Linked DNA regions of Caenorhabditis elegans. The protein of the gene in region 2 interacts with the protein of the main gene of each other region in a pairwise test. Each region holds a gene or a part of one and is shown on either strand. Other genes may lie near its edges.

Region 1 (11,152 bases), on a different chromosome or scaffold from region 2:
GCCCAAAATTCAGCCAATATAGAGGCTGGAAGGCATACCTGTAGTTTAATTGGTCCCGTCAAGTATCAAAATATGTAAAACGAGTTTCATTTATGAAAACTTGCTGAAACCGTAAAAATTTACAATTACTTCCACAAATTGTATATTGTTAAATTCCACACAGAAGCCAGTTCTTATTAATTTGAAGCAAATTTTAAAAATATAGAATGCTATTTAGAAACAGTAAAAAATTTCGAATTTTCACAAAAAATAAAAAACATGATTCTTGTGATTCTTTGCTGCAGAAAAAAACGAAAAATTACTAAACCCCATGTATTTTCTCAGGACCTTGAAACATTAGCTGATTTTTCAAAAACTCAGAAAAAAATCGAGGTTCGAGATGATTCACTTGCCTTTTTCTACGTGTACGTCAGGGCTTCCAGGCAGGCGCAGTTTCAGTGCCTGCCTGAAACCTGCTCGCCTAACGCCGGCCTTTTACCTATTTCATGCGTTTTGGTTTGATTCAATTTTTTTGAAAATCAAATTAAGAAATTAAAAAAAAAAGAGTTTTCATATGTTTCAGCATAAGGTGCAGGTTGAGGCAAGAGGCAGGCGTAGGCCACCTTAAGGTCAGGCAGGCAGACGTTTTGACGCCTACATGGAATTTCTTTGCCGAATTTAAAATTTTAGTTTACTGAACAAAAAATGTACTGTTTCACGTATTCCATGAATTTCCATATTTTGAAAACGTGATATTAGGACACATCCCAGCCTGTCTTACTATTAGCCACCGAAAAACGTAAATTTATGTCTTTGGAATACCAATTTATATGTTTCTAATTTGAAACAAAATACTTCTTCGAAGTGTTACAAAATTGAAAAATGAATTCTTAACATGAAAAGAAGTCACAGCACGGCCGAGAATTTATTCGATTAACATTAACAATCTGAAACAGTCAATTTTTTTTGTCCAATTTTCTAAAACTTAAAGTTTTAACACTTTAGTAAGAGAAAAGTCAATCTGAAAATGAAAACTGCATTTCTGTCCTCCACTAATTGTTAGCTGGGAATTCTCTCTGAAATTCCTGATTTTAGTATCAGAATCTATTTGTCGATAGTGGTAAATCAATAACCCGATCAAAATATGCAAAACGAGTTTAAAATTTAATAACTTGTTGAAACAGTCAAAATTTCGCTAATTTAAAACGAGTAAAGATTCTGTATTAATTTAAAGCAAAAAAAAAAACAATTTGAAAATATTAAAAACCAGTTAGAAACAGTAAATTTTTTATTTCTCATGACCATGAAACATAAGCACATTTTCCAAGTTGGAATGCTCTGTAAAACGAAATAATTGATAGAAAAATTTCAATTTATATCTAACTGTAAATGACCCTTATTAGGATGTAATACAGAAGGATAATCGATAACAATTCATTTTCCATATTGAATATGAGTAACCTGAAACAGTAAACTTTTCATCCAACTTTCTGTAAATTTTGCTGTGCCTTTTGTGTTATTTCAATTAAAAATTGCCATTGATACTTGACTTATCTGAAACAAGATACATTTTTTCTAAAAATTTGAACTTGTAAGTCTTATAAGCTCTATTAATTACCTAGTTTGAACAAAAAACGAAACTTCAGCTCACTAACTAGTGAAATCGAACTTCGAAGTAATGTTTGACAATTTTTGCTTTCCGACAATAGCAGCATTAAACTTGAAAAAAATTTAAATATTGAGAAACATTATTCGATTCATATGTAAGCAATCTGAAACAATATATATGTTTTCTAAAATATTATACTACCTTCATTTTCAACACTGTATTACCCCATTTTATACATTCAGACAATATCAGTAATCTGAAACAGTATTGTTTTCTTCTCAAGTTTGAAATCTTTAAGGTTCCATATAGAAATAGCCCCAGTATAATTTTTTTTTCAATTTCTTTTTCCCGGTATATTCAGATTACTTGTCAGATTGTTATAAAATTTCCAGACTCTAAGCCAATTTTAAAACACGCAAAATTATTTCAGCTTGGCCGAAAAAAAATTAAAAAAAACTAAATTTTCGGTTTCAACACCACATTTTATAATCCTCAAAATGCTAGAACAGTAGTGAGAAATAATAATAGAACTTCATACACTCAGAATAAAAAACTGGAATAAATCTAGCAACGTATAAATAAAATGTTGGTATTTTTAAAGACAACTTGAAACAGTGGAAAAATGTTAAAATTTTCCAAAATTTCCGTCAAATCGTCGTTCACCCAAAATTTGAAAATTTTCCAGATTTTTCAAATTGTTTTCCAATAAAAAATATTTGAATAAAAACCACAAAAACATACATACTTTCGAACATTTTTAGAACATTTGAACAGTAATTTGTCGCGTCGAGACCCGATACAGTAATTTTCGCGCAAAATTTCACGGTTGGGTAATACAAGTAGAACCTTAAATGTTCATGTTCAGCTCATTTTATAATAACTTGAAAAAACCACTACTGTTTCAAAATTAATTTGAACGATTTTTTTTTTGAAAAAAAAAACATATTTTTCTCTAATCCCTCAATAATATCTCCATTTTTTTCCGTCCCCCCAATCATCACAGATATCAGCTGAGACAGGGGAAAAGTGGTGTGAAAACACACAAGTCTCTGCGTCTAGCGGTGTGTAACACTGTCTGCGTCTCTGTGCTCTCTTTGATACTCTCTCCCGTGTGTGTGTGTGCTCCTGGAGCTCTTATACATTTCCAAGTGTTTCTGCTCTCTGCATCTCTTGCCCATTTTCCGCTTTTTTGAGCCAACAACTTCTCATTAGTTTTTTCCTTCGAGTTCTTGTGCAGAGCCACGGCTCTTTCAACAACTCGCACAAATTGAAAGTTTTCGCAATTTTTTCTTGCATTGCACGTACATATTTTCTTTTTTTTTTTCATAATTATTGATGAAAATGAATATGTTTTGTCAAGCGAATATGCTACATTGAAAGTTTTCAGAAACAGTGAAAAATCAAATTGAAATTAACAAAATCTTTCAAAATTTAATCACTTATTTGAAACAGTAAAAAATTTTTTAAAGTATACGTCGATTCTGAAAATACACTGAAAATGAAATAAAATTCTTGAAACTGTAAAAAAATTTTTAACCAATTTTTTTTCACAAATTTTTCTTTGAAAACGTTTCCTTTTTATTACCTCCTTGTCTTCCCATTCCCTTCATTAAAAATCTGAAATTTCCAGACATGATGGGCTCATCGTCGCAAGAGCTTCAAACAGCTCTAACCGACGTCTCAAAGACCTGCCATCACTTGTGGGAAGAGAATAAGGACCTCCAAGGCAGATTTGTGAATGAACTCGGCGAGCTTCAACGTCTGCAAATGGTCATTGCACAGCTGGAACAGCAACAGAGACTAGAAAATGTATTCACTGTGAAACAGCAAATGACAGAGTTACAGAAAAGAGCAGCCACACTTTATGAGCATTTGACACAGAAAAGAAATGATATTGTCATTAAACTTAATGATGGCACCAATTTTGCGACGATGCTACAGGTTGGTTCTTCTAATGTGAAAAAATATGAAAAAAACATAAAAAAAATTTTACTGTTTCAAAGTTTTGTGAAATATGAATTAAAATTTTTTACTTTACTTGACTGTCGAAGACCATTTCCATTAAAAAACTCTAATACAAGATTTACTTTTTTGAAAAATCCTTCAAATTTTGAAGAATTTTGCATGTTCAGTAAATTCATGCTAAAAATATTTTTATTCTTTTAATGTTTCAAGTGAATGTTTTGTTTAAAAAAAGCATTAAGAAATCTTTTAATATGAAATTACATCAAAAATGAACTGAAATACAAAAATTAATTAAAAATTTAATGTTTCCCATGCATTTCATATATTGAACGCGCGAAAATGTCATACTTTAAAACTGGCCTGCAATCTAGCTCTCTTATCTGAAAAAAAGTTAGTTATAATATTTACAGTTTCACACTTTTATCAAATTTAATCTTTTTTTTCCTTTTACATTGATTTTGCATAAAATTTGACAATTTTTTTTAAAGAGAAATATTTTTAAAAAAATACTGTTTCACAGTTTAATCAAATTTTCTATGCGTTGCAATATTTTAATCAATCTTCATTTCCAGACCCAACTAATTGGCGAAAAGCTGTTCTCCTGGAAAAATGCCCAAAAACTTGCCCAAATCGGAATGCCTTTCGATAATCGCGAACAGCTGCTTGATGAAATTCAAATTGAATTCGAATTTCTCGCTGATCAAAACTGGCAGCTTAACATGTTCTCGTGTTGGATGCTCGACTTGCTCCGACGTGCTCCACAGTTAAATGATGGGCTCGCTCAGGCAACAATTGGAAAGTTGACTGCAATTACAGAACAATTGAACAAATTACTTTTTATGCTGGTTTCACAGAGTTTTATTGTTTCCGTTCAACCGGAACCTGTTTTGAAGACTCAACATAAATTTGTCACTGAGGTTTGTTTTTTAATGGAAATTATACATGTCAAATTTTGGTGGGTCCCGCCGCGAAAACCACACCGTCGTGACGAGACCCAACTTAGTTAGAATTCAAGCAAATTATAAGAAACAATAAAAAAAAATTCAAAAATTTTAATTAAAACTTTACCGTTTCAAAAGTCATTCAAATAAATATGTAAGTCATACTCAACAATTTTATTTAAGAAGTTCAATTCGAATATAATGTGTGCCACGCATTTGTTCAGCTTGAAAATTTCTGGGTCCCACCACAAAAACTACAGTTCCACCCCACCTAATTTTACGGGTTACTGTAGTTTCCGCTGTGGGACGCAGCAATTTCAGAATCCTGATTTTTCAATAAAATTACAAAAAAAAACTAAAATTTCCAGGTCCGTCTTCTCATTGGCGATAAGCTGGGAATTCGTCAACACCTGGTGAACACAAATGTTTCAGTGAAAATTATAGCAGAAGATGAAGCCAAGCAGTTGAGTGTTGACTATGATGCACATAAGGAAATGTGAGTTTTTTTTAATGAAAAATTTGAAACAGTAAATTTTTGAAAAATTGAGAAAATTTTTTTTTCTAAAACTTATACTTTTTCGTATTATTTTTATATACTTTTCTTATTTTTTGTGGTTAATTTGTAGTTGTATCACTATATTCAACACTAATATTTTTCAGCCGTAACAACAAGACAGTTGGCACAATTTCCAATGATTTCGAGAAGCTCACAATGAATGAAAGAGGACACTTGGCGGCAAAATTCAATAATTCAAAATTGACAAGAATTGCACACAGAAAACCGCCCCCAAAAGGAGCATCTGACTTGAAATGTGCAGCAAGTATGCAGGCAGCTACTGATCAGAAATATGCTCTTTTATTCTTTATTACACCTTTTCAAATGGGTAATTTGAGCAAAGTAAGTTGTTGATATTTCAATTATGACTTGATTTTTTTTGAACGTAGTCAGTAACTCAAACTCAAATGCAAAATCTTTTAAAAACAACGTGAAACAGCAAAACATTTATTTTTTATTTTTTCACTGTTTCAACAAAAAGTTTAAAATTTATTTCAAAATTTGAGTCTGATAAACGAACAATGGTTGAACCAAACATTTCCAACATTTCTTTCGGTTTTCACTTTGAATTACTGAAATTTTCTAACTGGATTAGTAAAAGCAGTAATTCTATATTCAAAAAAGTGTAAAGAAACTTGAGAATTTTCACTGTTTCAGCTACTCTTAATTTTCAAAATTTAATATGTCCTCCAATTTCTATCAATTAAAATTTAACAGGAAGAACAATTCGACGTTTGGACACTTTCTCTTCCAATAATGGTTACAGTACACGGATCTCAAGACTGTGACGCGCAAGTTGCAATTCTCTGGCACCGCGCATTCGCCTCAATCAGCAGAAATCCAAATACAACTGATGTGACAGCTGTGACATGGGACAATCTAGCAATAATGCTTCGAAACAAGTTCTCCTTATTCACGGGAGCACGTCGTCCACTTTCAGATTCAGATTTGGCATATTTAAGTGAGAAAATGTTAATGCCAAATGTGGCAGATCAGAAGCCAATCACATTTCATCGATTCGCAAAACAGGCAATGAGAGATGACTTACCATTCTCATTTTGGGAATGGTTTTTCTCAATAATGCAATTAATCAAACAAAAACTGCTCAAATTCTGGGATGAGGGATGGTGCATTGGATTTATTTCAAAAAATGATGCGTCTCAAAGTATGATGATGTGTCAGCACTCTTCATTTTTATTGAGATTCTCTGACAGTCAAACTGGTGCTGTATCGATTGGTTTTGTTTGTGAAGAGGCTGATGGACAAAAGATTCCATTTCATTTGGCACCTTTTACTATTAAGGATTTGGATCAATTGTCACTGGCAAGTCGTATTGCTTCATGTCCACAATTGAAGGATATTCGGTTAGTTTTAGACGCGAAAAGTTTACCATGTTGTTAAGTATGCTTAGTTACGGTCAAAAATGGAAATGTTTAAAAAAAATTGGAAAAATGAAAAAAATTATACTGTTTCACTAAATATTTTATGTGGTTAAGAAATTGGACAAAAAATAAAAAGTTCAAAAATACTACTTTTTCATTGAAGAATCATAAATAGCCTCAATTGCAATAGTTTGATATTTCTGTAACCACGAAAGTGAATTGAATTTTCACGCGATTACTGGGACGTAAGTATCGTACCTGCCTACGTACCTGCCTACCGCCTATTTTCTGCGCCCTGGCGGGAAATTATGTGATCTATGTTCTCACCGTCCAAAAAAAAAAAAACTTCAACTGTTTCACTTAAGAATTATATAAGTTGTTCCTTCTTTTTTTAATGTTAAGAAAATACTCCTTCATCTTTTCTAATTATTATAATTTGATTAAACTCTTTTCAATCAGTGATCAATTTAAACAAAAAATGTTAAAATTAAAGTCAGAAGTGCCAAATAAAAAAAAAGGGTAAATAAAAGTTAATTTTAGGAGTGAAAACTTAACAAGATGTTAAGTTTGTTCAGTTACAGTAAAAAATAAGTGTGAAGAAAATTGAAAAAATGAAAAAAAATTATACTGTTTCACTAAATACTTTTATCATTTGGTTTGAAGTTATTGCATTCTTATTGCATTCTCTTTCATAACAACAATTTTCGGGTCTTACCACGTTTTGAAACCTTTGAATTTCAAAATTTTGCTATGAAAACTGGCACATTTAAACAAAACAAATATTTTTTATGTGGTTAAGAAATTGGAAAAATTTGAGAAAAAGTTCAAATTTTCTACTGTTTCATTGAATAATCATAAATAGCTTCAATTGCAATCGTTTGATATTTCTAATCTTTGTGAATCACCCTGAAAAATATATATAAATAATGTTCACATTTTTCACATTCACATCAGTACTAAGAAATACACCTTCTTGCCTTGTGCTTACCTACCTACCACCTATTTTCTGCGGCCCGGCTGGAAATTATGTGATTTATGATTTCACCGTTCAGGCTGAAGCACTTTTGATAATATTTCTGAACGTGGATATAAATTATGTCAGCAGTTATTTTGAACAAAATTAACAAAAATTTGAAAAAAAACTTCAACTGTTTCACTTAAGAATTATAAAAGTTGTCCCTTCTTTTGTTAATGTTGCAATTCCGAAATACTTATTACAACAAATGCATCATTATAATTTGATCTAAATCTTTTGAAACTGTGATCATTTTACAAAAATATTCAAATGAAAGTTAAAATTGCCAATTTAAATAAAATACAGGAATTTAAAAAAATTTTTTTTTTTTCTATTGTTTCACTAAATAATTTTATATGGTTTTTTTCATTGAACGATATTGAAAATGGCATCAATTGTATAATTGTTAAATACACTTTTCTCCGTACTTTTTAGGTCTCATCACCATCTCGATACTGTGATTTTTAATAATTTATTATAAGAACTGTCAGCACAGCAGTTTTGAACAAAAAGTTTCATTTCCAAATATTTCATTTTTCTACTGTTTCATTGAATAATTATTAAAAACATCAGTCCCATTTTTCTGATATATTTTTTAAAAATATTTTTTGGATCCAATTAGTAAACATCATGAAAGTACATGAAATGTTAACATGAACACTTTCTATAACTGGACACCTCCTGCCTGCCTACCTACTTGCCTACCGCCTATTTTCCGTTTTTACTCCAACTGTAATTTTTTGAATTTTCTCGTTATAGGCAAAAGTGGGTTACAAATGACACTTTTTAAAATTGGATAATAACGGTGTGAAAATAGAATGAATGCAGAAACATGCGCTCGTGAATAATAACTAACTGAAACTGGGTGGAATTTTTACTAAAATAAAATCCGGAAATTGTGAAAACTGCACGGAGTAACTCAAAAAACTAATCGTTTTTATAAAAATTCTAAGGCAAAAAAGTTAGCCTGTCTGCCTACGGTGTAATTCTTCAAGAAAGTCAAATTTTGAAATTAGTGAATTAAAAAAAAATTATGCTGTTTCAGGTTGTTGATAAATTATCGGTTAATTTCTAACATCAGTAAACATCTCACATCTGGTCGAAAGTTTGAAAATATTAGATACAATCGATGTAAGGGCTGCTATGTTGGGCCGAAAATTACTGTTTGACTATAGGCAAGCTACGCCTGACGTGTGCCTTCTACCAGGGGAAGAATGTGTTTCATTTCTTTGCCATTAAATTAATTGAAATAATAACACTTACATTTAAATTTTCGGCTTAGTTGAAACAATGGTAGGCAGCAATGTAGGCAGAACGACTTGCCTACCTACAGCTTCAACAAGGCCTTAGCGCCTACTTAGAAAGCCTGATGAATTTAAAGCAATTTATTTTGGAAAAATGCCAAAGCATGTTTCAAGTTGTTCATTTTTCAAAGTCTAATATTCAAAAATATTAGTGAATCACTCAGTTTTTTTTTGAAAAAAAAACAAGGTCTCGCAACGGTTTATAATTCTTATTTTACTTTGAAAAATAACCGCCAGCCTATTAAAAATACGAATTAAAAAAAAACGCAAAATGAAAATATTTTTCTGTTTCACTGAAAAGAGATAAGATCATGGCTTAGAATTCGGACAATGCCTCTTCAAAAAATGACAAAAAATGTTTCAAATTGTCTATTTGTAAATCATGTTTCTGAAAAATTTAAATTTTTCCAGAAGTCGCAGATTTTAGAGTCGAGACCCAATTTTTAAGGTTTGACAAAACATTGACTTGAGCTGTAATCTCTCAAAATACATTGTAGACATGTAAAATGTGAAAATGTTTCTACCAATAGAAATTGAAATTAGAAAACAACAATTTTTCTCACAAATTCTTGAAACAGTGAAAAATTTTTTATTTCAACCGAGTTAATTAAGGTAGCAACACATAACTAACAGCGTTCCTCTTAACTTACAAATTTTGAAACATGAAATAAAAACCTCTAAATTTCAGATACATGTACCCGGCAATCGATAAAGAAGAAATGCTGCGTTTCTTCGAGTCCGAGGAGCGTCATCGCGTGGGCGGTGGTGACAGTCCAACTGGATATATTCAAAGTGAAATTGTCATGGTTGCAAAAACAAATGGGTAGGTTACAGATGGAAAGTTTAGAAATTCGGTTTATTTTAGGAATTTCAGACGAATGTCCAATGCACCGTCCATGTTTGGTGCAGATTCTCCGTCACCGTTGTCGGTTCAAAGCAAATTGGATTGGTCACCCGGGGAGGTTCATCAGAATCATATGATGGAGATGTGAGTGATGTGTTCAAAAAGTTTATGCGTTCGGGGGGAATCGAACCCCCGTCGAATGCTTGGAAGGCATCCATGCTGACCATTACACCACGAACGCGGCGAGAAGTCGCTTTCTCAGTGGCCGTTATCAAACTAATGACATCTCATCTAAAGTGACATTCGATAAAGAAATTTCCAAAAATTACAAAATGCGCTCCAATGCTAATTCCACTGTTTTTTCCAGGTCCGACGAACTTGGTCAAATCCTAACAGTCTCGGATATGTCGGGAGATGTAGAAACTCTATTGGGACCAGCATTCAAGAATAATATCACAAACTACAATCCACACGATGGAAATCATCAGCATAACCTTCATTTTGTGGATATGTCCCAACAGGGAATGATGCAACAGCACCACAATCAATTTTATCCCTCATAAAACACTATTTAAATGTTAAAACAGTCCCCCCAATTACCTCTTTTTGAATTTCTCTGTCTCCAGTTTAGTATTCATATCTTTGCTTCTTTCGTGCTGTCCATCTTCCTCAATTCTTTGATAATCTAATATTATTTTGACAATATTTACTGAAAATAATATTAATAATCACAAGTGATTTCTGATCTCATCCAATAAATTATTTTACTGTAAATCGAATGTTTTGATCTGTTCCACGATGGAGACAGGAAGCTAGAAAGTTTCATATAAGCACGTGATTCTAACCAAAAAAAAAAAATTAATTTTACTGTTTCAGGAAAATGTTATCAGTAAATGCAATTTCTAAATATCGATGGGGATCAAGAGCACGATCATAATTTAAACTGTAGGAGATGAAACTGGAGAAGTCGTGGAATTGAGATGAAAGAAAATAGAATAGAACTATTGTCTTCTCACTAAAGGAAAACTGAATTTTCAGACAAACATAACAGAAAACATGACATGTTCAATAACTTTTTCAAATATCTGTAAATGGCAAATCAAGCCCCGGGGATCAATTTCAGTTCTCTGCTCTAAAATATTTTCATATCATTTACGTTTTGCAGCATGGAGATTTAAAAAAAAGTAATGAAAACTATTGTCAGTTTTGAATGAAAATCATATATGTACTGTATAAAATTGCTGAAGTTTTGGATAATTATTAAAAAAATTCAAGACTCTTCAAGTTTATTTTCAAAATGTTGAAGAACTCTCTATCAGTCGATTTTAGATTTCAGTTATTTTCTCAAAGATATTGTGAGTTGAACGCATTCAAACACATACAAAAATATACAACTGTTATTAAAAACTCAAAGAAAATGTAGTTTTATAAAACTTTTAATTTTGAATAAGAAATTTCTATAAATGCATGTGAATTGATTGAATTAAATATCTAATTAAATTTTCAAACATTCTAGGCAAAGCTGTAAACGACAAAATCACGAAAGCATTAGTAGCT
Region 2 (6,698 bases):
CGACCAAATGAGTTTTATTCTTTGATCTTACGACTGGATCTCCAATCACTAGCGACGACTTTATTGGTGTACATACTGGGCCGGCGGTTGACCTCCCGGATTGCTCACTGAAAAAAGATAAATATTAAAATATTGATTTTAATATCAACTCACCTGTAAAGATGTCCTTCGTAGTTCGTCTGTTGTCTGAGCATTTTCTTCGCAGCTTCTCGTTCACGGAGCAATTCAAATTCAGCCATTCTATCTTTTGGATGTTCTTCAGTCAATTTCATATCTGTTGAACTTGTGACTCTGCATGATAGAACATCGTCGGCGGATACGGATGTTCGAAGAGCATTTGCAATCTTAAAAGAAACACATTTAAAAATCTATAGAGATTTATGAATGAATTCTAGAAACCTCTTCAGAAGTAACACTCTCTTTTGAAATTAACGGAATGCCGTCATCTTGAAACAATTCACCCGCAGCAGAGCATCGACCGAATTCCGATGATGGAGACGGAGACGCTGTAATTTTTAAATTCTGTGAATTCAAATAGATAAATTAAAAAACCTATTGGTTCACTGCTACAGCTTGGGCTTTCCGTTGCTGTATCGCGAGACGGCCCAGGAAATTCCGGAGAGAAATTATTTTCCTGCGAATTTGGAATATTTTTCAACAGTAGACCACCACCTCCATCTGTCGACGTGGTTTCTTTCAGTGTCTTGGTGCGGCTTCGTGAAGTTACTCCTCCATCCTTCAACTTTCTTTCATAATTTGTCATTTTCTTAATAGAAAACATACCAGTTTCCGAGACAGAGACTGTGAGCAATCCAAACTTTTACGTCGAGGATGAATCAACTTTCTAGTCTCGTTACGTAGCTTTTCGCGGAATGATTTGTGTTTTTCATGGGCTTTCACAACCGGCATCGATGCACTATTTGGAATGGTAACCTGAATTTAAAATTTTTTAATAATATCGACTTTTGCAAAAAATTGTGTTGAACACAGCAAAAACAAAATTTTTATAAGAAACAGACCTGCCTATTGGCATTATTCAAATCTAACAATCCAACAGAATTTCGAGTAAAAACATCTTCAAAGATAATCGGGCTGAAATAATTTCTTGTTTTGTGAGAATATTTATAAAATCAATATTATTTACCAAAATTCTCCAGGACAATCAGTTTCTTCGCAGAAAATTGTGCAGCGTGGAAGCTTCCTCAAATAATCCACCTTGATAATAGATTTATAATGTTCGAGAACCGATACTGGTGTTCTTATTAAACATTTATCGATTGGTCGTTCATTTATCCAAAATGCCTCACGAAATACTGCACGACGTTGTTTATCGAAAATGAGAAGCAGTTGTTGATTGAGCTCTGAAAAAATCGATTCCGATTCCGTTCAAGTTTAAAAAAAAAGACAATTTCGGATTAAATTCTTACAGGAATTACACAAACCTTTTGATTTTCGAAAAAGAATCAACATTTGTTGATATATTAGGGTAATTTTAGTGCTCCATTCGCATACATCGGTCTCAACACATCTTGTCGGATGATCTGAGCTATCGAATTGTTGAAGAGCCGCTTTCATCTCTGTTTGTACATCCAGAACAACTGTAAAATAATGCTTTCGAATTAATTAACTTTTTTTTGTTTCATACCAACTGAAACCGATGCATTAATGAGCCGTGAATTATTGACGATGAACTGTTGAATAGATCGAGTTGCGAATAATAAAGCATGTGCAGATGAGTTATAAACTCGTCGGAGTTTTGTGCTTTTTGTAGATGATGCCTGTAATAACTGACGCAACAGTTTGATCAGATTTTTAAACATCAAGCTATTTTTTATATTTATTCAAGCAAAATTTTAAGATTTGATCGTTTTCCGTATTTGAGAACTGCTCAAAATTCAAAAAACACAACGAAAAACCTAGGTGTTTCTTTTTTCAAAATTTTCCAAAACATTCAAATTTTTTCGCAAAAAGCTCGAATATTCTTACCGATTCTGATGCATTTGCCTTCCGTTGCCGCGTGGCTACCATAACTAAACTACTAAAAACACTCATAGTTATCGCAGATAGGTAGGTACTGTCAAAATATAAAGAACGAGCGGCGGCGACGAGTCGTGTTGGATCCAGAGGAATTTCGACAATTCTTTTTGTGATTTTCACGAAGGATTCATATTGTGGAGGATGATAACGGTCCATGTATCTATATTAATTCATGATTTTATGTTTAATCAATTGTTGGACTGTCTTACAATAATTCAATTTCAATTTCTAATTTTTGAGGCTCACACAAGTTCAATGTCGAATTGAATTGCACCGAAATATGGAACCAATCATCTGAAAGTAAGATAAAAAAAGGTGTTTCGATGATTTTATTACCTAAATTGAATTTTTCATGTTGATAAGTTACTTCAACTGTTTTACTGACAGCCGCTCCTTGATAGACATGTGCTAAAAGAATATTACTCGATGTTTTAGGCCTGAAATTAGAGAATATTCCAGTGAACAAATCAATAATCGACGGACCCAGTATCCCGGTCCCCTTCCGTATCGTGTGATATGTCTACTGATCCAATTTCCGCTGTTTTTCGTGGCCTCAGTCGAATCTGAACTGAACGTAAGCGATGATTTGTGGTTTTTAAAAACCTGGTAATAACCCCGATCAGACAAGTCGACGTTGAAGAACTCGCATAATTGAATACTCACATTGAATACCTGGTGAGCTTCAATTCGCATTCTACTCGCTCCCGCCTGAAGAATTATTGATTCCAAGCTATTCAATCCCTAATTAGGGTTAACCCAAGTATCATGAGAGACTGAAAAATGTTACAGTGTTAGAAGGTTACCAAAACTGCAGAATAACAGATTATAAAGAGTTCAACAAATAACTTTATTGACATTATAGAGGAAAACAACAAAGTTTTACTTTCCAGCGATAACCTTCTCGCTCTGGGAAATTTTTCTGAGAAGCTCAGCACGCTTGACGACTTGTCTCTCCTCACGGCGCTTGCGGCTCTCCTTGTTCTTGTCACGTCTGGCTTGAGCTTGGTCACTGAAATCATCAGGAATTTTAATATGAATAATTGATTGAAAGACTTCTCAATAATTTGGAAAAACAAATCATTTAAAAATAGTAAAACTTACGCAAGTTGCTTGGCTCTCTTGTTCTCAGTCTTCTTCTTGAAGATGTACTCGATGAGATTCTTCTTGTTCTTGAAGTTGTTTCCCTTTGCGCGAAGGTAGAGCTCGTGGTAAAGGTGCTTGTCCAACTTCTTGGCATCTCTGTATCTTCTCAGAAGGTTTCTGAGGACACGCATGCGTCGGATCCAGAGGGTCTTTTCTGGCATACGAGCATTGGCAGTACCACGACGCTTTCCGTAACCGGTGTGACGTCCCTAAATTCCAAATATTTTTTTTTAACTTAAAATGTAACTTTTAAAAAATCGACAGCATCAATTAAAAGAAAAATGTACCTTTCTGCGGGCCTCCTCGTACTCGCGTGCGCGGAAGCGGGAGTGGACAGTGACTGGCTTGCGGATGATAAGTCCGTCATTGACGAGTCTGCGGATGCTTTGACGGGAGTTGGCTCCAGAAATCTCGCTGACCTCATTGGGGTCGAGCCAGACACGGTGCTTTCCGCACTTCAATACGGCCGAAGCCAAACGTTTCTGCAGACGGAGATTGCTGAAAAATCAATAATTAAAAATGCAAATTTTGCACAATTCTCAATTAAACGAAAGTCATATCTTCAAAAGACGCTTGGACTGATCTTTCAATTGGAAATGATTTAAAAAACTCACCTCATTTCGTCTTGCTACCCAGTATTTGGAGTTTCCTGTAAAAAATTAATATAAAGTACACAAATAAAGAAATTTTCACGAAAACAACAAAAATTAGCGACACCCTTCAGAGAATCAAAATTTTTGCTTAATGGAAATTTGAAAGCTATCATTTTCTAATTTTGTACATCAAAAATTAGGCAAAAAAATCATTCCAAGGCTTGAAAAATCGAAAAGAAGTTTAGGAATTGAAGAGAAAAACTGCTATTTCCTCGTTTCACTACGAGACCTGAGCGCGTCAAAGGCGCATGACTACGGTAACACTCGTTTCAGCTGTGTCGTTTTCTTTTCATCGCATCTTCAGCAAACAATTGTGTTGATATTTTGAATAAAATTTTCGGGGGTATTGCATATTTTATTGTTTCATATTTTTTGGACATTTATTTAACACATGTATTTTAGAGATTTCTCTTACAAAATCTGAAAAATTTAGTTAGTGGTATTTATAAGTTGTTGGTTAAAGACAATTGTTGATAAGTTCTTCAGAATTTGTTAAAAATCATAGGTATTAGATAAAAAGAAACTCACAATTTTAGTTCAACGCGATAGTCAGAACGAATGAAAGTATTCCGAATAGCACTATTTTGAGGTGTGTTTCAAAACATTGTGAAAAATTACGAAATTTTGAAACACAACAACTTTATTTTTCGATGCTTTATTTTATTGTGAGGAAGTTTCTCAAAATTTAGAATGATTAAGGTACGAGAGTTATCAATCCATATGCAAATTATCCACATGATCAATCCTTGGTTCTTCTCCCGGATCATCTGGACCGAAAATTTCCCAATAGTGTGCCATTAAAATGACATCAAACATTATTAAACAACTTGATGCTATTGAATACCAGAAAAAATCAAGGTGCGCCTGTGATAATATTTCAGACTACAGATTGTGAGGAAACCTACGAAACTGAAAGAGATACCACATAGCATAACTGTTTTGAAGGCTCTATCGTACGAAGGAGAAATTGCTCTATTCTGATTCCAGTAAAATGGGTCCGCCACCGAGAAAGTTGGGAATGTTCCTGGACCAATGTTTAAAAGATACCCGAAAAATGCAAAAAGTAGAAACGATACGATTTGGGTGATCTGAAATAGTAAAATCTAGGAAAAGGATTGAAATATCACGTACAGTGCTAGGGGCGATCCATACAATTCCAACAATTACAATAATGACAATTATCATTGAGAAATGTGTTAGAACCATTTGCAGAGCAAAACTTCTTGGACAAATTACATTTCCAAACGTTGATCTCGCGATTCGTTCAATATGTAAAAACATAAAAATTGTGAGAATTAAACTGAAAGTATACGACTCCATCGTCGAAATTCCAATATTTTTGAAAACTTTAAATGACCCGAATATCAAGTACATATATCCAGTGGCAAATGAAATAATAGGCATCGTGTGAAATTTTTTTGTAGAATTCAGCCAGAAGTGTCAGAAATTTTTAGAAAAAAAGCCAATACATCTTGAAACCCTAAAATTAGAAAGACATACTTATCGCTCCCTCTCAACGGGCATCGGGTAGTCGTAGAGATTCAGAAAGTGTCCAAGGAGATGTCAGAAAATTCAAAACTTGTCGTTGATCATTAATCTCGAGTGAAAAAAAAATAGAAAAACAAATTTGACTTCAAAACTATTTATTGAAATTAAAAATAATTTTAAAAAGTCAATCGGACAAATGTACGAAAAGATCTTCATGTTGGTTTTAACCTTTGTAGCTGAGATTCTCATACACATTCTGAAAGTAAAACATTATATTCCTGCGGATGGGTCTCGCCACGCGAAGTGTAATTTTGTGGGTATGCACCTTTAAGATTACTGTAGACAGAAGATAGTTTTTTTAAAATAAGTAACTGGAAATTTCCTGGAAATTTCCTACAGTAATCTTAAAGGAGCATACACGAAACATTTTGAAACATATATAGCGTATCCTACTAGTGAATCACAGTAAAATAAGAACCTACATCTTCTTTAGGCTTCGGAGGGTCTGCCCGGTGACTATTACTGCTCGACGACGATGGCTTCATGTTCTGAAAATTAAAAGTATTTCGGAAGCATGCCATTATCAAAATTTTGATTAAAAAAACTTCATTGAACTTCTGTTACGTGGCAACATTAGGCAAAGGTTCATTAGTGACCGTGAAAATGAAAACTCGGCCACTATTGAGGGGAAGAGGATTTACCTTAGACTTTTCTTGGTCTTCTCTATCCGATTTCGGCGTTGATTTTAAAGATGGTGCCGACGAAGATTTCTGAACAAAAATTGAGTTTTTTAGATATTTTTCTGAAACAAAACACATACAGAGACAGTTGGATTCGATGGTGTTTTCTGAAACAGAACAATAAAATGAACATTTCCAATATTAAAATTCTTACCGAAACTGTTCCACTCCACTTTTGTCCCATTATTTTCAGAAGAGAATCAATGCAAACAACAACGTCAAAAATTGTTTTCTCGGTAACGGAGAATGAATTCTAGAAGACTTAAAATAATAACATCTCACGTTTTTGTTTGTGACCCGCCCCCGTGTCACACTTGTTGGAATTTTTTTGGGCAGATGAACTTTGAAGATTAGGAAAAAAAATCAATACTGAATTTATCACACTCAGTTTTCGAAGGATTAAAGTTCTACTGTGATCATCATGGCGACTGGTAAGTCATTTTCAGCTGGAGATTTACGTTTTAGAAATCTCCTGGAATCTTCTAGAACTTTTGAGATGCGGATATTGGACTATTGTAAATATGAATTGTACTTTAAAGCATTCAAAATAGTCTATAGATTTACATTGGACATTTTCTAATCAATTCTTCAAATACTTATTTTCAGCGTTGGATCAAACCGACATGGTTCAAATTCC
Region 3 (6,882 bases), on a different chromosome or scaffold from region 2:
CTTTTCGTCTGAAATTTTCTTAGAACAAAACCAACATTATTCACCAGCGCGATAAGCTTCTGCTTGCTGTACGTAGAATTGACATAAAGCGACAATGTCTTTGGGTTTGGTTTTCCTGCTTTATTCTGATTGAAAAACTTATTTACGAGGTTTCGCATGACTGGAAAATTTCCAATATTTTGGTTGAGACCTTGAGCAAGCTGAACTGTTTTTTCATAATTGAACAACTATAAGTGAGACTTACAGCAAATGCATTTGCATCCGTTGCATGGGGAATAATTTTCTGGATGGCAATTTACGATACAGACTGAAATTTTACACAATAACGTATTGAATCATGTGCTCATGGGTGGTAGACACGTTTTAATTAAAAAAAAAAAAAAAAAAAAAAAATCTAAGAAATAGTTTAAATATTATTAAGAAGGTGTTTTCAGGTCAATTTTTTGAACGAAAATTATAATGAAAGAGAGCCACGTGGCAGCAGCATTTATATTTTTCAGAAAACCCACAACTTACTCCGAATGCCTGCTGAGTACCTACAATAGAAAAAAGTTCCAGTGCACAAAATACAATGGGAAAAAGACACCTCTGCATGGTAGATTCGGTATGATTTTAATGGTGGCGGGCTTTTTTACCGAGGCGACAAATCCCTGGACAGATTAAAAAGTAGAATACGGAAATTCAAAAAGATACATTGAAATTTTGTGAATCAATTAATAATCTGTCGTGATTTGTGCAGAGGTGAACAAATCATGCGGGTTTTTCTATGATTTCAAACACAGGCAAAGCGGGTACGGTCCGTTTACGGATCTTGGACCGGGATCGGACCATTAACGGGTGAACTACGGATATGAATAGCGGGACGGACCAATTACGGGCAAACTACGGGGAATGTAAAAAATGGCCATTAAGAGGAAAAAATGGATTTTAAGAAAACGAATTGTTTTTAATACCTATGATACCAGTTGGCTAATTTAAGCATTTTTACGTCGTTAAATGCATTATTTAGAGCAAACACCACATTTACCGACCGAGATGGCTCTTGAGCCGTAGTTGGGCCGTTTCCGGTCCGTAGAAGGTCCGTCGCCGGCCCGTAGACGGACCGTAAATGAACCGTCCCGGGCACCAAATTTTTGTTTTTGAAAATTTCAGGTTCTAGCACGGAAAAAGTGCTGAAATTAGCTAAAGGAGAGTACCCTCTCCTTCTCTCTTCGGCACTTCAAAAACTCCATTTTCATGAAAAATTTTTTCGTATTATCCTCCGTTTTGGTGATCATCCGTAGTTTGGCCGTAGCCGGTCCGTAGATGGTCCGTAAATTACCCGTCCCGGTCGGCAAAACTGCACTTTTTAAAACTAAACCTTGAATCAGGCAAAAAATTAACCAACTGGCTACAATGAACCAAATAGCATTGTAGGTACTTCAAAAACTCAATTTTCATGAAAAAAAAATTCCTCTGGGCAACCATTTTGTCTATCATCTGTCCGACTGGTCCGTACGCGGCCCGTAATCGCATGCGATCTAACTGAGGCTATTAAGCAGAACATTGTGTGTAAAAGAGGTTATATTAATGTATATAAAAATATCAATAAAAAAGATGAAATGCCACAATTGGGTAGATACTGTGTATACGCAACGTTCACTCTCTCTCTGCTGGTCTTCTTCAGCTGAGCAACAGGAGCATTTTTTGAAATATCATAAAATATTTTACTAACAATACATTCTGGAATCATTCCTGATATCGTTTCTGTTCCGTGTGTATTTTAAGAAATTAAGGTATCATTCAAGTAGAACGCATATACCTTATTTCCTCTATTAGTCTTGCAACCCTACGGTCCAATCGAAAATTAGTCTTGCATGCAAGACTAATAGAGGAAATATGGTAAGTACCATTTCTGTATTACAAGTAGATGGAGCACAAATAGGTAGATGTTGAGAAATATGCGAAATAAGTTCTGGACTACACGAAACTGTCAATTGTTATCGTTCGTTTTCATATAAGTCCAACGGCAAGATGGAGAATCAGAAACTACTGAAAATACAATCGAAAAAGTTGGTGTAAGCCGTGAAAACCAGAAGAAAATGCGCTGATCGCTATTTATGCGAAGTCTCTTGATATTCCTCGCGTGCGCGAATGGCCACACGGAAAGGTGATGGGCCAGTAATCAATCGACAGGCAGTGGACAAGTTCAACCCCGGCTGAGGCAGATAGAATTGCTACAACGAAGGATCACCGGAAGACGGTCTGGAGGAAGACCGGAGCTTGGAGCATTGGGAAAGAAAAAGGGGGCAGCTGGAGGGTGAAAAAATTTTCCCATTTTTTAGTCTCCTTACGGTTCAATTACGGTCCGTTGACGGACCGGGAATCGAACCGTGAACTGTTCTTTAATTTGAGCCGTTCCCGGTCCGTGAACGGACCGTTTTGGGCACTTTCCGCTTTGCCTGTGAAAAAACAGTTCCACTGAAAAGTGTTTTTTTGTAATTTTTGATACTTGTTCAAGTTATTAAATGGTCTGCTCAGTTTTCAGTGTTTTTTTTTTGAATTTCGCTTTAACCTGAACCATCCTAATTCAAAAGTATCAATATTCTGACGCAATATTTAAATTTTTTTTGTTAAACTATATCACTTTTTCCATCCAACTTTTGACTGTCAACAGCTCACGTAGCCAATGATAAGAGCGGCACGTACCGTTTGTTATCACTAAATTTTGATGCACGTAGCCAAAATAAATGCTAATCAACATGTCTTAGGGCAGCTCATGTGATGCCGAGACAACCATACATCAACGTTAAGAAAGTGTAGATCATCATTTGATGAGAATTGGGTTTTGTTTGGATCAGGAAAAACCGGAACTTTTTATTTCAGAATTTAGGGCGTTCACTGGAAACGTTCTAACAATACTGGTATAATTTATCTCCCAAAAAACACTTTTCAAGTTTATAACCTATATCTAAGTTTAAAAATTTTGAGTACAGGACAAGTATGAGTTTACGAAGCATCATATTAAAATCAAAATGTAATGTGAATGTGGACGCTAGAAAGCCAGGCGAAAAGGGACATCACACTTCTGCAAAAAGTTATTTTCATTCGGCGATCCTTGGATGTAGTTTTCTTACAGAAGGTTAAGCTTCTCAAAATGTACTTCAACACTTAGGTTTCCATATTAGTTCATTGAAACGCATGTTTCTGTAAACAAGAACCCTTTCGTTGCCAATATGTAATGTGCAAAAATCATAATCAGTTTATCAATGATCACAATCACAAACTCCGCCCCCAGAGTTGTCCAGTTTAAAAACACCCACAGTCCCGGACACGTAATCAAGTCATTATATTTTCTGCCAAGTAAATCGTCATGTCTCTAGCTCGTCAAAACTATCACGATGAAGTCGAAGCGGCCGTCAATAAACAGGTATGATCATTGTTTTGACAAATGGGAAAAATATATTAGGAAGGTTGGAAATTGAGAAGAGATTTAGAAAAAGAGAGGATGTGTCGTGAGAAAATTAATCACTGATGTCTGGTTACTTTAAATTAGGAATTTAACTGATTAATAAAAACATTGAAACACACCACACGCTTATTTTTCCAACCGGCAACATTTTGTTTTTTTTTAACGAACAAGGGCAGGCAGACAGTACCTGAAGAAGCGCAATTTGATCATGGCAGCGTCGATGATTTCTTTGCTCTTATGCCAGTCATCCAAAAAAAATATACAGAATAGGCGGCAGTAGATAGACGAGCACGTGAGACTGAAAGCGTCTACAATAAAAATCCTATCTGAGCTTGCTTTTGAACTGGACGAAATTAACACTGAAATGCTTTTAAAATTAGAAGTATTACTCAATTAAAAGCTTAAATTACCTTTCCAGATTAACGTAGAACTCTACGCCTCCTATGTCTATCTATCGATGTCTGCACACTTCGATCGTGATGATATCGCACTTCGGAACATTGCCAAATTTTTCAAGGAGCAATCGGATGAGGAGCGTGGCCATGCCACAGAGCTCATGAGAATTCAAGCTGTCCGTGGAGGACGTGTTGCCATGCAGAACATTCAGAAGCCAGAGAAAGACGAGTGGGGAACTGTCCTTGAAGCATTTGAAGCCGCACTTGCTCTAGAGAGAGCCAATAATGCATCTTTGTTGAAGCTTCATGGAATCGCCGAACAACGCAATGACGCGCACTTGACAAATTACATTCAGGAGAAGTATTTGGAAGAGCAGGTTGGCATTTTCAGTTTAAACTCCTATTTTTATAACGTTTATTAAGGTACATTCGATCAATGAATTTGCTCGCTACATTGCAAATATCAAGAGAGCCGGCCCAGGACTCGGAGAATATTTGTTCGACAAAGAGGAATTTTCTGATTAATAATTTTTATTTGATGTATTTATTGTACATATGGATGAAATTGTATATTTACTGAAATGAAACACATTGAAAACTTCAGAGATTAGCAGTTCCTAAAAAGGTTCAACCTTTTTTCAACCTTTGTGGCGGAAATCTGAGACACATAAGGTGTTTTTTAAATGTTTATTTGGAAAAACCGTTAGTATATGGAATTAATACAATATAAGGGAAATATTTTGTATTGAAGCTTACAAGAAGCTTTCATTGTTTACAGCGCCATGTGGAATTCTACGTTTTCAGATGTTTTCCCAAAAACAACATAATATATTTGTTCTGGGTATATCAAAAGATTTCCAAAAAAATTATTTCTAATTTTCAAAAAATATCTCTATCGATGTGGAAAGTGTTGTAGAACTTAAAAAAGTTTCTGTATACTTTCAGACAGAATTTTTGTTTTCAATGGCATTTTTTGAATGTTTTCATAACCAACGTGGCTCAATAATGTTTTTGAAATGCACTTATGTACATTTTTGTTCTTAATTATATTTTCAAAACAGCTTCATTTCTTTAAATAATGTGTATATTTAAAAAAAAACCAAAATTGATTAATTTGCATGTTTGAAGTTCGTTAAAATATCTCTAAAAATATATGGATAGAATTTTGGTAATTATTACGCTTCAACTGGAGGTTTACTCAAACCAAATTTTGAATTTTAAAAGTTAATGAATTGAGCTTCATTTCACTTTTTTGTTATTTTCTTGATTGAATACTTTTAGTTTGTTGGAAAAACTGTAATTTCATTAATGTCTTGGTTTTTTTCTCAAAATGTTGAAAAAAAGAAAAATAATTAAACAAAACATAGGAATTATTTTGAGGATATGAGTCACTTACAGACGAAGATTCTAAGAATGCTTGATTTTTTTTTGGTTGACCATTCTATCTAAATATTTCCTCAATAACTCTTCTTTGGAAATCATTGTTTTCTTATTGTGAGAAAAAGTTTTTTTGCAATATGAGAACATTTTATTGTATAAAACTGCGAAAATTTTTCTAGACACGTTGGGTCTTGCTGCGACATTTCCGAATTTATCAGGTATTGTGATGGCACGGTAGAGTATGATAAGATTACTGTAGTAGGCTTTACGATTCTGAAAGAATTAGTATTACGGAAGGAATAGTTTTACCAAAATCAAGTCTTAATTTTTGTAGTAAAAAAAACGAGAGATTGGACGGGAATCCGCATTCACGAGGGAAAAAATTTCAAAATTTAAAATTTAAATGCGTCCCTTTCGAGATTTTTTGCTTACTGGTAAATTTAGAAAAATTTAAATTTAAAAAACTTACAACTTTAAATCTAACTCAAGAAAACTAATTAATCTCTACTTCCAAATGACGTCACTTGTAACACAATTACTTTCAAATTGTATCAGTTTATCATCAGTATCTCATTTTAACCTTTGATTCACTTTATTGTTACCTTGTAACAGAAGACGATGTGTGTATCAATTGGGACGTTACGATTTCTCTTTTTTTCATCGTAGACAAGGCACTGTTGTTTTTATAGCCCCCTACATTGTATTGATGACTTTTCGATTTTTTTTTTCTGGCGATGCCTTTTGAAACTTATGTTAATGCATACTTTTTAATAGTTCAAAATCAAATTTTTGTTTGAAAAGTTGCTTCTAGTTTGATAGGTTTTTTTACCTAAAAATTTGAAAATTTGCAGATGCTGTCAAAATTATTTGTGTTCTTGCTGATATGCTATGCAACAGCAGACGAAGTGGATAAAAAAGAAGCCAAACACGGTTTTCAGGTAAGTTTTGGTGCAAAAAAAGTTTTTGTTCGAAAAAAAAATCCTAATTGCAGTGTTCTTAACCTGAAATAATACGGTATTTACAAATCGTGTTTTTTTTTCGAAACTGATTTAAAAACAAAATGAAAGTTTAGGAATTAAAATTGGAGATATAAAGTAAGTTGAATTAATTTCGAACAATTGTAGAGAATTAAAAAGGAATCAGAAAAACCGTCAAATTCAATTAGATTGATTCAGTTAGACAAGTTAATAAAAAAACCAAAAACTCTCAATTTTTAAACACAACAAAGAAACCTCATTAAAATATCCAGCACAGATAACTTCACACATATTCTGGAAAAGCTAAAAAGTGTTGTCAACAAAAAACAAAAAAAAATTCAAACAAAATTGTAGTATTCAAATTTGTTTTCAAACATAACTCTCCTGCAAATTTGATGGAACATTATTGAAAAATAAAAGAAAGCCAGGAAATTGCATACTGTGATTCGAAAAGTAGATATTAAATTTTTTGGTTTTCAAAATTTTAATCTCTCCACTTACTATTAGAAAAACTTTCAAGATTTTTTTTGAAAATTATTAAGTTTCCGTATTTTTTACAATTTTTTACAACTCGTTCAAATTGAAACATTTGAAGCATTTTAGTAGCTTATAGTCGATAAACCACAAACAATCATCAGTCCAAAAACCAACAATTTCTTGTTTTTCACTGCTTCTTTTT

Evidence for each region. Proteins that work in one complex are often made in the same cells at the same time.
Region 1: the proteins of rpl-19 (region 2) and sta-1 interact in a two-hybrid assay, tested with the Caenorhabditis elegans proteins (one large-scale study listed by BioGRID).
Region 3: the proteins of rpl-19 (region 2) and ftn-1 interact in a two-hybrid assay, tested with the Caenorhabditis elegans proteins (one large-scale study listed by BioGRID).

The regions. Positions count from the first base shown.
Region 1 is NC_003282.8:16,661,102-16,672,253, forward strand, and holds sta-1 (Signal transducer and activator of transcription 1), read left to right. Parts: upstream 1-3,218; 5' UTR 3,219-3,220; coding exon 3,221-3,529; intron 3,530-3,625; exon of another isoform or gene 3,626-3,646; intron 3,647-3,901; exon of another isoform or gene 3,902-3,922; intron 3,923-4,005; exon of another isoform or gene 4,006-4,026; intron 4,027-4,108; exon of another isoform or gene 4,109-4,125; coding exon 4,126-4,470; intron 4,471-4,483; exon of another isoform or gene 4,484-4,504; intron 4,505-4,666; exon of another isoform or gene 4,667-4,687; intron 4,688-4,862; coding exon 4,863-4,990; intron 4,991-5,113; exon of another isoform or gene 5,114-5,134; intron 5,135-5,154; coding exon 5,155-5,392; intron 5,393-5,420; exon of another isoform or gene 5,421-5,441; intron 5,442-5,560; exon of another isoform or gene 5,561-5,581; intron 5,582-5,767; coding exon 5,768-6,414; coding exon of another isoform or gene 6,415-6,451; intron 6,452-6,561; exon of another isoform or gene 6,562-6,582; intron 6,583-6,627; exon of another isoform or gene 6,628-6,648; intron 6,649-6,829; exon of another isoform or gene 6,830-6,850; intron 6,851-6,887; exon of another isoform or gene 6,888-6,908; intron 6,909-7,103; exon of another isoform or gene 7,104-7,125; intron 7,126-7,313; and 27 more. UniProt on the Caenorhabditis elegans protein: Carries out a dual function: signal transduction and activation of transcription. Activated STAT proteins play a role in repression of dauer formation.
Region 2 is NC_003279.8:5,481,914-5,488,611, forward strand, and holds rpl-19 (Large ribosomal subunit protein eL19), read right to left. Parts: upstream 3,830-6,698; 5' UTR 3,800-3,829; coding exon 3,795-3,799; intron 3,679-3,794; coding exon 3,468-3,678; intron 3,390-3,467; coding exon 3,139-3,389; intron 3,047-3,138; coding exon 2,917-3,046; 3' UTR 2,866-2,916; downstream 1-2,865. Other genes in the region: C09D4.4 (DUF676 domain-containing protein), read right to left, coding at 1-107, 154-344, 400-506, 553-736, 784-933, 1,020-1,092, 1,145-1,361, 1,443-1,598 and 6 more; C09D4.6 (Cytochrome b), read right to left, coding at 4,806-5,237; C09D4.9 (Protein AF-9), read right to left, coding at 5,545-5,577, 5,804-5,869, 6,023-6,091, 6,142-6,168, 6,216-6,245; C09D4.3 (Protein kinase domain-containing protein), read left to right, coding at 6,483-6,492, 6,668-6,698.
Region 3 is NC_003283.11:7,544,034-7,550,915, reverse strand, and holds ftn-1 (Ferritin), read left to right. Parts: upstream 1-3,336; 5' UTR 3,337-3,352; coding exon 3,353-3,409; intron 3,410-3,869; coding exon 3,870-4,223; intron 4,224-4,269; coding exon 4,270-4,371; 3' UTR 4,372-4,448; downstream 4,449-6,882. Other genes in the region: C54F6.19 (SWIM-type domain-containing protein), read right to left, coding at 5,325-5,429; putative Na(+)/H(+) antiporter nhx-3, read left to right, coding at 6,078-6,164.